Linked DNA regions of Neurospora crassa OR74A. The protein of the gene in region 2 purifies or fractionates together with the protein of the main gene of each other region. This does not show direct contact. Links are inferred from orthologs where the notes say so. Each region holds a gene or a part of one and is shown on either strand. Other genes may lie near its edges.

The links.
Region 1: the proteins of NCU00424 (region 2) and NCU07554 purify together in Saccharomyces cerevisiae (affinity purification with western blotting; 3 studies listed by BioGRID, with this or other methods). This does not show direct contact. The link is inferred for Neurospora crassa OR74A from reciprocal best matches to the Saccharomyces cerevisiae genes PDS5 and SMC3.

The regions. Positions count from the first base shown.
Region 1 is NC_026503.1:4,380,774-4,387,200, reverse strand, and holds NCU07554 (chromosome segregation protein SudA), read right to left. Parts: upstream 4,790-6,427; 5' UTR 4,378-4,789; coding exon 4,340-4,377; intron 4,215-4,339; coding exon 1,388-4,214; intron 1,326-1,387; coding exon 875-1,325; intron 806-874; coding exon 507-805; 3' UTR 160-506; downstream 1-159. Other genes in the region: NCU07555 (hypothetical protein), read right to left, coding at 5,992-6,080, 6,263-6,375. UniProt on the Saccharomyces cerevisiae protein: Involved in chromosome cohesion during cell cycle and in DNA repair. Central component of cohesin complex. The cohesin complex is required for the cohesion of sister chromatids after DNA replication.
Region 2 is NC_026503.1:3,811,420-3,817,866, reverse strand, and holds the start of NCU00424 (Spo76 protein), read left to right. Parts: upstream 1-2,516; 5' UTR 2,517-2,970; coding exon 2,971-3,321; intron 3,322-3,383; coding exon 3,384-6,447. Other genes in the region: NCU00425 (hypothetical protein), read right to left, coding at 1-200, 263-489. UniProt on the Saccharomyces cerevisiae protein: Essential for the establishment and maintenance of sister chromatid cohesion at centromere proximal and distal regions during S phase. Also required for chromosomal condensation.

The DNA.
Region 1 (6,427 bases), about 570 kb from region 2:
CTACCTCAAAGCATGCCACTATATACGCAGCAAGCGCTACTACATCAAACAAATAACCCCGAACCTCACAAATGATCGTTTGCAACGACATTATCTATCGTACCGACAGGTTTTTGTTTTGGCAACACTTTAACAGACAAGAAAAAAAAAACCAGTGAATGAGCCTGCACCTTCTATTCTAGAAGCTTGATATACTTCTCGCTTTGTTGCGCTTTTCAAGGATTATACCATATACTTAAAGACACACACTCGATGCGACAGCGAACAGCGAACAGCGAGCAGTGACATGAACAACTGTACCACACTTTTCAATGACAAGATAACGCATCAAAGCCCATGTCCACACGAAAACTCAAACACCATACTTGAAAAGAAAGAGAAGATACCATATACAGCCTGCCTTACCACCACCCTCTCCCTTTCTTACTCCTCCTCCTCCTACTCCTTCTTCTACTCATCCCATCACCATCCCCACCACACCTCACGCCATACACCACTCTCACCACTCACTTCCCACTAACCTGACCCTCTACGAAATTCAATGCATCCTCCGTCGGCACACAATCAATCGTACTCGTCTTATTATGGAACGTAACGCCATAGCACTTATCAGCCACCAGGACGATTTCCGGCCGGAACGTGGTGCAGATGAACTGGGTCTTCTGCGTCTTGGAGATGGAGTCCAGCAGCGCGGCGACGGCGGTACGGTACTGCGCGTCCAGGTTGGCGTCGACCTCGTCGAAGATGACAAAGGGGGAGGATTCGGCGGCCTGGAGGGCGAAGATGAGGCAGAGGGCGCAGAGACCTGGTGATCATACGGTGTTAGTAAGGGGGATGGGGGGAAAGGTAAGGATGAGAAAGAAAAATAACATACTCTTCTGTCCACCACTGAGTTGCTGAATCTTTTGCTGCTCATCCATAACCTTGGAGTTGAAGCTAACGCTAATGCCCACACCGCTGTAGGACTCGACGCCCTTAGCGGAGGAAGGCCCATCTTCGTCCGAGTCCTCTGGATTGCGGTTCTTGCTGCCGGCAGCCTTGCGCTGGATGACCAGACGGCCGTGGCCGGCAGGCACAAGCTTCTCGAAGATGGTGGAGAACTCTCGAGACACCTGCTTGAACGTCCGCTCAATGGCCTCGTCCTTGGCGTGGTCGAGATGCTGAATGAGCTCCTCAATCGACTTCTGCGAGGTGTCGAGCTCCTTGCGACGCTTCAGGAGCTGCTCACGCTGGGTTGTGAAGTTGTTGTATTGGTCAAAGGCTTTCTTGTTGATGTGCTTGTACTTCTTGAGAGCCTCATTGACCTTGCGCAGTCTTGTTTCAATCTGTTTTTTTTTTCTAGTTAGTATGCAGATCAAGCAAGAATTGTCCAAGGATGATAACTTGCCTGCTCAGACTTCATCTTCTCATACTTGCCAAAGGCTTCCTCAGGCAGAATACCAAGATCACGAATGTTCTTGGCGTACTCAGCCGCCTGTTGGAGCAGACGAGCCTTGGTTTGAGAGTTCTTCTCCAACTTCTTTTGATACTGATCGATCCGCTTCTGGAGCTCTTGTTGTTCCTGCTCCTTTTGCGCCTTGTGGGCCTCTAGCTCGGCAATTTCGGCGGCGATGCCCTCCGTCTTCTCCTCGTTCTCCTGCAATTGCCTGTCGACCTCAGCAGCAGCCTTCTTAAGCTTCTTGAGTTCCTTCTGAGCGTCCTTAAAGCTCCCGCTTCCACCAGTAGCGGAGTTCTCAAAGGCCTGGCTGCGCAGCTGATCCTCCTGCGGCCTGAGATGTGCACGAAGTTCCGTCTCCAGTGACTTCTTGCGGCCTTCCAGCTCCAGACGCTTCTTGCTGATTTCCTTCAACTGCATCTGCAGGCGGTGCTCTTCGGCACCGAACTCCTCGAGCTGACGCTCCTCGGCGGCTGATAGCGCCTTCTTGAACTCGGAAGCCATTTCGGCCCGGTATGCTGTGAGGTTCTCGTCAAACTCCTTCAGGTTCTTCTCGATGGCCGCCCAGCGCATCTTGGCGTCTTCAAGATGTCGCCGCTCGCGCTCCAGCTGAAGCTGTTTCGTCCGCAAGTCGACCTTCAGGGGATCGAAACCTGACTCGAACTGGCGCAATTGTTGATCGAGCTTACGTTCCTCGCCATTAGCGCTCGTGATCTTTTGCTCCAGAATCTCATCTTCCTTCTTGATCCTGTCCAAGTCTTCCAGCTGTTGCTCGTAAAGTTCCCGAAGCTCTTCGAGTCTCCGGACCGCCTCCAGCCGTGATCGGCGAGCATCAACAAAGCCACCGGTCATAGCACCCCGCTTATTGGTTGTATCACCTTCAGGGGTGATGGCATCCACACCGTGTGTGCGTGCATACTGAGAGGCTATCGACAAGTTGGGGCAGACAATTGTGCGCCCAAAGACCTGCTGGAATGCCTTTTCGTATATCGGGTCAAACTCAATTTTGCTGATAAGTGGCTGGGCGTCCGAGGCCCTTGGCATCTTCACCTGCCTTGGCCGTAGTTGCTCAAGCGGCATAAATGTGACACGACCGCCATAGTTCTTGTGGAGATACTCGGACAGCATAGTGCCCGTTTTTTCGTTGTCGACGACATAGTGGAAAAGGCTGTTACCCGCCACCTGTTCGACCGGCAACCTGTAAGCGTCTACTGGCACGTTCATAAGCTCTGCCAGAGTACCATAGGCACCGGGAATATCCCGCTCTCTTTTGAGGCGTCTGATCGCTGCTAGACCCCTAGCTGTCGCCGAATCCATGGCATGTGAGAGGTCCGCCTCCGCGTTGTCTCTATCTGCACGGGTATTCGCAAGCAAAGAACTGAGCTTGTCCTCCTCACGACGCAGTCTCTTTCGCTCTTCGTACAAGTGTTCCCTGGCCTCCTGAGCCTTGGTCAGCTTCTCGGCGATTGATGACCGGTCCTCACCGTATCCTTCGAGCCTGTCACGGATGTTTTGGATCTCCTTCTCTAGTTGCTTGATCGAGTTCTCGACCAGCGTGACCTGTTCCTTCGCATCCATCTCATTGGCCCGCTGGTTCGCAAGCTGCATGGTCGTCTCCTCGATCTCGCTCTTCAGGAAAGCATCGCGCTCGGCCTTTGTCCTGAATTGGGAGCTTCGCGTCTGCTTCGTCAGCAACCTGGTACGACCAGTGGCCGCCAGATCCCTTGCGGCCGCCACTTCTTCCTCCTCCTTCTTCCATTTCTCGTAGTCTGGTGTGATTTTGGCAAGCTCTGACTCGGCAGCCTGGATCCTTCGCCTGACCTCGTTCAGCTCCGCTTCCTGTTGCTGCTGGGCCTTCTCGCGCGAATGCCGTGTCTCGTCGAGATCCTTCAGCTTCAGCTCTGCCTTTGCCTGCGAACGCGCGGTGTCTTTCCTGTCCTCATCCAACTGGCGCCGTTCGATGGCCAGGAGCTCAAGAGTCTGCTTCAGCTCCTGGAACTTGTGGTCGAGGGCAGCAATTTCCTTTTCCGTTTTCTGGAGTTGGACCCGGTCCTTAGTCGTTGCGCCAGCACCTCCCTGCCGCACCTCTTCGATCTGCTCCAGAGTGTTGTTGTTGGTCTCCTGTAGGCGGTGCCAGTGGGCGTACTCGAGACACCTGCGTTCGCGGTCCTTTTCTTGGAAGTCGCGGAGTTCGTCCTTCTCCTCCTCCAGTTCACTAAGACGCTCCTTGATGTACTCGAGCAACTCGTCGATCTTCTCGCGCTTGCTATTTGTCTCGGCCATAATCTTCAGCGACTGTATGCGCCTGTCGTCGTAAAGGTTGGTACCGGCAATTTCCTTGAGCAGGTTGAGTCTTTCGTTCTCCTTCATGTTGGTGATGGCTGCGACACGACCTTGGGGAACGATGTAGAAGGGGTTTTCCTTGGCGAAGCCGGCCGTTTCCAGAATCTTGAGGACATCGGCACGAGTCTGCACCTTCTTGTCGACTGAATATTCGTCCTTCTTGAGACCGATCGTCCTCCTGATGACGACCTCGTCGCCGGGTTCGCTGAAACGCTTATCGGTGTTGTCGAAGATGATCTCGACGTATGCCGACATGACGGCCGAGCCCGAACCCTCGTGAAGCAGGGCCTGGCGCTCTTCGCGACTCATGTTGGTGTAGGCATCGCTGAGGACGAATCGGATGGCGGCGAAGAAGTTGCTCTTGCCTGAACCGTTGCGACCAACAATAACATTGGTACCGGGGGAAAAGGGTTCGATTACGGTTTGCTCCTTGTAGCTGGTCGTGGAAGTGTCAGAAGTCAGCACCGGCTTCAACCTGGTTGCATGCGCCAGGCGCGCGCCACACCCAAAACGAAGGACTGACGTTGACGTAGAGCCATAGTAGACAAGCATGCGACGCACCTTTTGAAGCCCTGGATAATAATCTGTTTGATGTGCATGGTTGCGGTGTTGTCGTCGTCAACTGGACGACAGCGCGGCGGCAGCTACTTTGATGTTGAAGAGACGCTGAAGTGGGATGGAATATAGACCAATGGGAATACAACAATAGACTAGTATAGCTAGTAGACTATGTAGACAGCTGCGCGCATCACTCTGCGCAACAAGGGTAAGGTACAGAGTTCAGGTCGAGAGCTCGGAGGTTGTCAAGAGTGGGAATCGGATCGTCTCTATTTGCATCGTTTGGTTCGCATCCATCGGTCGCGGGGCGCGAAAGAGCGTCGTCGTTGAGAATGCCGGAGTCGTCGACCCTTTCCAATTGTCGCGATGTGGGAGGAAACTGTGATTGATCAAGTTCCGCTTCTGGACACAATTCACACCTGACACGAGCGCGAATATGGAAAGACCTGGGACGGGGGGGGGGGGGGGGGCGTGTTGGCCGCTGGCGGGTGACGATACCGAAGAACTTCCGCTATGAACATGTACCTGGAGTAGTACATAATTCACTTTCAACGCGTCTCGCCGGGCGGTTCCCCTGTCCTGTCGCGCGCTCTCCCCTCTTGCAGGGGATTTCCACACTTCTTTCCCGCAGGCAAGCACCGACAGCGGGCGGCACCAGGGCCAGAGTCGCAGCGCGGGAGTGAGCTCTCCAAAAGGCGCTCGGGCCATTGTGACTATGGCGGTAGAACAAAGCGCCCAGACCAATCACGTGCTCTGACCAAGCAGCAGGCTGGGCTGGGAATGTTCCCACCTAAAGCAGCTTGATGGATTCGGTGATATTGCGAAACGTAGGAAGGATGACGGGAAGGAACTGGAGCAAAGCTCTTTCAGGATTCAAAACCTCCATTCGCGCGACGTGGCTTGGTAGCTTTACGTGATAGGCTTTCAAAACACAGAACTGTCATCAGAATCGAAGCACAAGACAGTCCATGAACTGGGGTGATTGGGACTGTTGAGCCTCGAGCCATGTATGTATTTCAGCTCTCAGTTCAGTTGCCAGTGTCGCGACAGACGCGTGGCAGATTGGCAGTAGCTGCATCCGTCAGAGCCCCTAGTGCGCTTGATGCTACAGTACCTACTGTCTCGGCTTGTGATGATGGAGCAGTAGTAGCAACACCACAAAATCAACACCTCGATAAATTGCTGTACATGATGGATCCCATACAGCTTGTGTAGATGGTGCCAAGTTCCAACATACGGCGATAGAGACAGGAGAACCAAGGACATCCACATGTTCACACCTGGTGTACGCAGTAGTTGATATCTGGGACCTATGGTAGTCTGGGTTGCTCCTCCAACGCCCGGCGAGTTTATTTGTTGTCTCCATCTAGTGTACGACATATTCGGAACAAGTGTCCGTTTTCCGCCCTCCATTCTCAGGACAACCAATCGTCATTTTCGTGAATGGAGACATCCAACGTCCCGCATTTTCTCGTCTGGAGTTGGGGTTCCAATAGAGAGACTGACGAGAAAAATCTGTTCGAGGCTTTCGACTCTCTCTGGTGGCTCTCGCCTGGGACCGAAATGGTGCCCGAATGGGGAGCAGCAAGGGACCCCAGACTTTGAAATGATCAGTGGACGTTCCCACGCCCCACTTGACGGGAACCTAATTGTTTTTAGCTTGCTCCACTGTCCCTGCGGCGCGGCAACCTCACAAAGACCTCATAGTAACCGCCCATGTGCCCTGGATGCTGCCTTTCTCGATCTATAGGTCGAGTTGGTCAGTAATCTATTCGAGAACCGTCTGGTTCTAGACGGATACTCTCAACATCGCTGAAAAGGGAAAGGGAGCAAGTCGTTGTTGATCTTGAATGGCTCCTGTGTCGCAGATCCCGCGTCGAGATTGTCCGTGATTACTCTACTGCGTACATACCTACCTGTACGTACACACCTTGTGCCATTCGACCAGTACACGCGTATACACCTGCATCGAAATGTCTGACTTCAACCTCTTTTTGGACATACAAGGCAAGGTGTTGAGATTATCATCGCCAAACAACCTTTGTTACAAACTCTACAAGCCATCAGGTGTGCCCTCGTTACCGCTCTGCG
Region 2 (6,447 bases):
TCAGGTTTCCGGCAGGCTGGGTAGCCTTCACGAAGGTAGTGGTATGGGTCAAAGTGGCAACGGCAGTCTTGGTGATGTAAGTCATGGGCTCGCTAGTGGAGGTGCTGCCCTGAACACCATCGACTTCGCCAGTGGTCTGATCGGCAGCGGCGCTGACCGAAGGCGTGACAGTGATAGTGATGGGAATGCAAGCCGAGGCGCTAGACACACAGGTACTGTCAGTGTTAGTCTTCGTCTGAGAATCGAGAAATCAAAGACTTACCTAGAGCTGGAAGCAGCTACGGCACCCGCGCTGCCATAACCCATCTGAGCGTTGGCACCGGTAGCGCTGAGGGCAGAGATGGCAGCGGCCATCAGCATCATGTTGACCTTGCGGCCCTTCTTCTCGGTACGCATAATAACGCAAGGCTCCTCGGTGTTCATGATAACGCAGGGCTCCTCGTTGCCGTTACGCATGGGAATGCAGCCGATGACACTGTTGTCAGACATTGTGGCGGTCAAAGAGACAAGCTAGAAAGGATGGTTAGACGACGCGCAAGATGAGAGAGTAACTATAACTCATGGGCGCGGGGCAGAACAGGGGAAGGGGAGAGGGGGCCCAGAAAGGCTTTGCGACAACGGCGACGAGGCATGAACACGCCGGTAAGAGTCCGGGATCAAGACCTCTTGATGCGCGCAGAGTCGCCTGCTATGGTGATAAGACCAGGCGCATGGTGAAGAGGTGCCCCACGAAGGTGTTGCAAGACCACTGTCATGTTGCGACCGTGTTGCGATCGAGGAGCCTCCCCACCATGCGACGAGTCGTCGCAACGATACAATCAAATGGACGAGAAATAAAAAGGAAGCAGAATGATGGGACTCGGTGCTTACGAGTGATTAATCCTGGAGGGCTGGATGCGCGCGCGCTGAACGAGTGGCTGTTGAGAGTGGAAAGACGATCCCGCAGTTGTCGAAGAAGAGTGCAAAGGTGGGAAGGAGGAAAGGTGGAAGAAGAGACTGCGGGCCAGCTTTGGGATTCTTATACGCTGGGGAAGGAGGGAGTGAATGTCAAAACCACTGCAGCAGCTGCCATTGTGGACGACTGTTTTCGACTGGCGACCGAGGAGGATGGGATGAAAACGGGCCGGCAAGAGTTCCTTGAGAACCTAAGGAGTCCTTCAGACGGGGAGGTGCGCTTGGTTGTTGGAAACGCAATTCCGTCACCTGAAGCTTGTCCGTACAATTAGCGGCGTACCTTCCATGTCCAAAGGTTCCGCGGGTAGAGGTAGGTACGATGAAGTAAGGTAACCCTGCTTTCACCTACTAGTCGAGGGTTGTTCAGACGTGTGACAAGGCTAGGTTCTCTCGAGACGTTTACGTCTGCTCTCTTTGGTACGGTAGATGCTCAGATCTGTTCTTGTGATCTGCCAGGCTGAATTTTGCAGGTTTGTGCGGAAAAGAAAAACAAGCAAAATGCTATGTCCCGTAGCGACCACTCTGATTCCAAGTATAGGTAGCCGCTAAAAGGGGGTGATCTCACAGTATCTCGGACATAATCACTTGCACTATTCGATTGTTATTCTGCTGCTGTTTGATCCAACGTAGGATGATTCGTGGATGTATCCATGTCCTTGTGAGCATGATACAAACGGATGATAAATGGATTGCAGTGCCGTAGGAAGTGTTAGATATGAAGAGAAGTTTAGGTATGTCTGCTTTGTAGATTCTGGGAATGTAAGGTTGTCCATTCCGCCGAGCAGGTAGACATACATGACTTTGCCACATATGATTCCTTGTTGAAGCGTAACGATCTTAATTCGTAAACGTCAAACGATGCCGGAAACTTTCAGCGATGAGACTCGCAAGCAAGGCACTGAAGACGAGAACGAGGTAACGCATTATTTTAGACTGTGAAGTCGTGAAGCCCATGAGGATATTCATGAACGTATCGAATAAAGTGAACTGGAATGTATGAATGAAAGATCTCAAGACTTCCTCTTGCGCAATACGTCGAACAAAGTGGACTAGTGACGGGGTCAACGTGAACATGTTACGCTGTCAAAGGCCCCCATCCAGTACGAATGTAGACAAAATAATTCCAGAAAAATAAATACTGCTCAGCGATGACTCGTATTTCACATACTTTGGGTAGCTTTCACCATGTTAGGGATGTTGAATAAAAGAGTGTCATGGATGAGTTCTAGGTGGTTTGAGAGGCTTTGTTGACGTGCGGTTGAAGTTCAAGTTGCATCGATTGACAGCGTTGTTTGGAGTTTGACCATACTGTAATTACTGATACCATATTTTCATACAGATGTAATGCCTGTGCGGCTTGCCGAAACAGTGAGTGGTAATTTGCTGTAAGCTGATCGCAACGTTTCACAGGGCCCCTTGCCAGTGGTCACAGGGCCCCTGTCATCCATTGCGGACGCTGCAGCTCCTTGGCTCTTGGGCAGCTCTCTGCCTGCCATCGTCCCGCCAATTGTTTCCCCCCCCCCCCAAGTGGTAGTTCACGAATTGTTGTACTGCCCGTCACGCGAAGGAACAGGACGGGCAAGCGCGTAACACAGCTGTTGCCGAACCATATCAACGACTCATCATCCCCCCGCAACTGACTGTATCCTCCTCCGAGCTCAGTCGGCCTGTCGCGCGACATCTAGACACCACCTGCGCATATCATTATCTCGGATCTTAATTCGTGGCCCGCGATACCAAGCTGCCCGTATATCTCCAAGGACCCGCGCGCATCGTCAATCGCGAGTCAACGGCCTGAGCCTCGACGTTTCTCGTTAACGTCGCACCACGACACCACGCGCGGCTTGCGGTCGCCCATAGACTCTTAGGCCCTCCCAGCTCCTTTCTGCCTCCGCCTTTTTATTCGAATCAGTTTCCCATCCTCGCCGCTTGGTCACTTGGCCAAATCAATTATTCAGCTAGCTCGTCCTCAAGATCATACGCAGGAAGGTAACCGATCGCAGCGCGTCAGCCGCCATGGCGCCACGTCGAAGCGCTCCCGAGGAGGAGGAGGAGCTCGAGCAGGAGCAGGAGCAGGAACAGGGACTGGTCGCACTCGAGTTCAACGAGCCCTTGACATGGCGCCCCGGCAAGCCCATCTCCATCGATACACTGCTCAAGAGGCTCGACGCCCTCTCCAAGGAGCTGTCGGAGATGGATCAGGAGACTGTGGACACCAATTCACTGGTCAAGGTTGCTAAGGACGTAGCCTCTCATCAGCTCATCCAACATAAGGACAAGGGCGTACGAGCATACACGGCATGCTGCATTGTCGATATCTTGAGGCTATGTGCCCCCGATGCGCCCTTTACACCATCGCAACTCAAGGTTCGAGAGCCAGAATACACCATCTCATGGACCACTTGCTGACGTTGGTGATCGCAAAACAGGACATCTTTAACCTCAGCATCAACTCCATCATTCCCGCCCTCTTCGATCCATCGAATCCCTACAACAACCAACACAAGTATGTGCTGCGATCCTTTGCCGAGATCAAGAGTATCGTTCTGCTACTCGATGTTGAAGGCAGCGAAGCCTTGCTACTCAAGCTTTTTACCACCATTTTCGACGGTGTCTCGGGTGTCAAATCTTCCAAGGGAGAGCAGGTTGGAAAAGACGTCGAGTTTAGCATGCAAGAGATGCTGGGAGTACTCATCGACGACTCCGTAACCCTTCCAGGAAAGGTTGTGGATGTCATCATGGCCCAATTCCTGAGAGCGGCTGCTCCGGGACTAGGCAAGGAACGGCAGGATCATGTGCCAGTCGATGACAGCCAGGCAACGCTGCTTCTGAAGGAAGAGCCCGAGGCTTACCAGATGGTCAGGAATCTATGCCAGACTTATGACGACAAGATGGCCCGTTTCGCCAGTCAGTATTTTAGTGATGTGATTGTCGATGCGACAGGGTTTGCGGGGAGGTCGAACGGCAACAGAGACGAGGATGACGAAAACGATGAGGATGATGGCCCGACAGGGCCCTCCGAGTCCGACTTGAAAGAATTGAGGAAGGCACATGTGCTTATTCGGGAGATCTGGAAGGCCTCTCCCATGATCCTTCAAAACGTTGTCCCTCAGGTTGATGCAGAGCTCTCAGCAGACAATGTGCACTTGCGACAGATGGCAACGGAGACGCTCGGAGACATGATTTCGGGCATTGGCGCGGCAGGTCCGCCTCCACTGCCCGTCCTTGATCCAGCCGCATACCCGCCATTGAGCCTGGAAGAAGAAGAAGAAAGAGCGGAACCCCAAGTGACCAACATCCTCACCACGCCACTTTGCTCCATATCCTTCTCGCAAACACATAGTACGACGTTCCACAACTTCTTGAGTAGGAAGAATGATAAAGCCCCGTCAATTCGCGCTGCATGGACCACGGCGGTAGGCCACATTCTCTCCACCTCTGCTGGAGGAATCGGACTCAGCCGCGAGGACGAGGCTACTTTGATCCGAGGGTTGGGAGAGAAGCTCTCGGACAGCGATGAGAAAGTCAGACTTGCAGCTGTTAAGGCTGTCGAGACCTTCAAGTTTCAGGACATTATTGCTAAGCTAGGACCTAATGGAGGAGTAGGCAAGGATGGATCGGTTCTCAATACGTTAGCCGATCGCTGTCGCGACAGGAAACCCGCTGTCAGAGTTGCTGCCATGTCACTGTTGGCTAAACTCTGGGCTGTCGGGACTGGTGAGATGCTTGCTGGAAATGAAGCGGTAACAGCAGCATTGTCTGGCATCCCGTCGCGCATCTACAACGCCTTTTACGCCAATGATCTGGAACTCAATGTCCTGATGGATCGCGTCATCTACGAGTTCCTAGTACCTCTTGGGTATCCGCCAGCCAAAAAGGCGACCAAGAATTCCAACGCCAACGGCAACTCCCAGTCGCAATCGGCTAATGCGACATCCATTGACCATGATGCGATTAGAGCAGAGAGGATTCTCCTCCTTGTTCGCTCTCTGGACGAACCGGCGAAGAAGGCATTTTTCGCCATGCAATCTAGACGGCCTCAGTTCGCCAAGATTATGGAAACCTATCTCGACCAGTGCGAGAGGTACAACGGTGGTGTTATGGAAAGCAATGCCGACAAAATCACCAGCAACTTGAACAAAACGGCCGATTACATTGCACAGTTTCTTCCAGAACACGTCAAGAGCAAGACCGACCTACTCAAGTTTGCTAAAATTCACGACCGCCGCAATTACAACCTCATCAAATATGTCATTGGCCAGGAGAATGATTTTAAGACAGTGTATAAGGCCTTGAAAGAGCTCATCAAGCGCTGTATGGCCAGCAAAGACCCCTCAGTTATTGACACTCTGCTTCCTCTACTCTACCGTTCTGGCTGTCTTCTCTTCAACCGCAGTCACTTATCTACGATTATGGAGTACTCCAAATCAGATAAGGACGGATTGGGATCGGTTGCGCACGAGATCTTGAACGAGATCTCTCAACGCAACCCAGACCTCTTCAAAACTCACATCGGGCAGCTTTGCAAGGATCTTGTTGATCAGGCTCCTAATGCCACAAAGCCGAACGATCCCATAGTAGCGGAAACGCTCAAGGCTTGCTCTACGTATGCCCGGAAGTTCCCTAAGGATGTCGCCATGGATCGGAAATTCGTCCAGACCATGATCAACTATGCTCTGTATGGCCAACCCGTCAAGGCCTCGAAGCATGCCGTGAACATTGTTCTTTGTAAGAAGGATGACAAGAGCATGGTTACCGCCACTGATCTTCTCCAAAGGATTTTGAAGGATTGGTCATACGGGTCGAGTAATTTCCTTAACAAGCTTACTGCTGTGAGCCAGTTGGAACTGCTTGCACCCAAGGTTACCGAGGAGGCGAATGATGAGATTCTCAATATGGCCTTCAAGCAGATCCTCCTCCAGGTGCGGACCGACGCCAAAGACAGCGATCCCGATTGGGTCAATGACGCCGAGATGGATGAGGAAATCCAGGCCAAGTGCCTCTCCCTCAGAACACTAGTCAACAGGGTGAGGAGTATCGAGGATATCGAAGACGCAAAAGAGAAGGCCAGTAATGTTTGGAAGGTGCTCAGGAAGATCATCAAGGAGAAGGGCGAAATTGTCGAGAACAAGGATACGCCCAAGCATCACAAGACAAGGCTAAGGCTCTTGGCTGCGCAGTTGATGCTCAAGCTCTGTACACAGAAGCATTTCGACGACATGCTTACGCCATCAGACTTCAACCTGTTGGCCTTGACCACTCAAGATATGGTCGAGGAGGTGCGTCATGGTTTTGTGCGAAAACTCCAAAAATATCTTGCCGATGGCAAACTGCGGTCGCGCTACTATACCATCATCTTCCTCACTGCCTTCGAACCCAACACTGAGTTCAAGAACAGGGTGGAAACATGGATCCGTTCTCGGGCGCGCCACTTTCAGAACCTCAAGCAGCCTGTTCTCGAGGCGATCATGGCCCGCCTCATCTCGCTTCTGG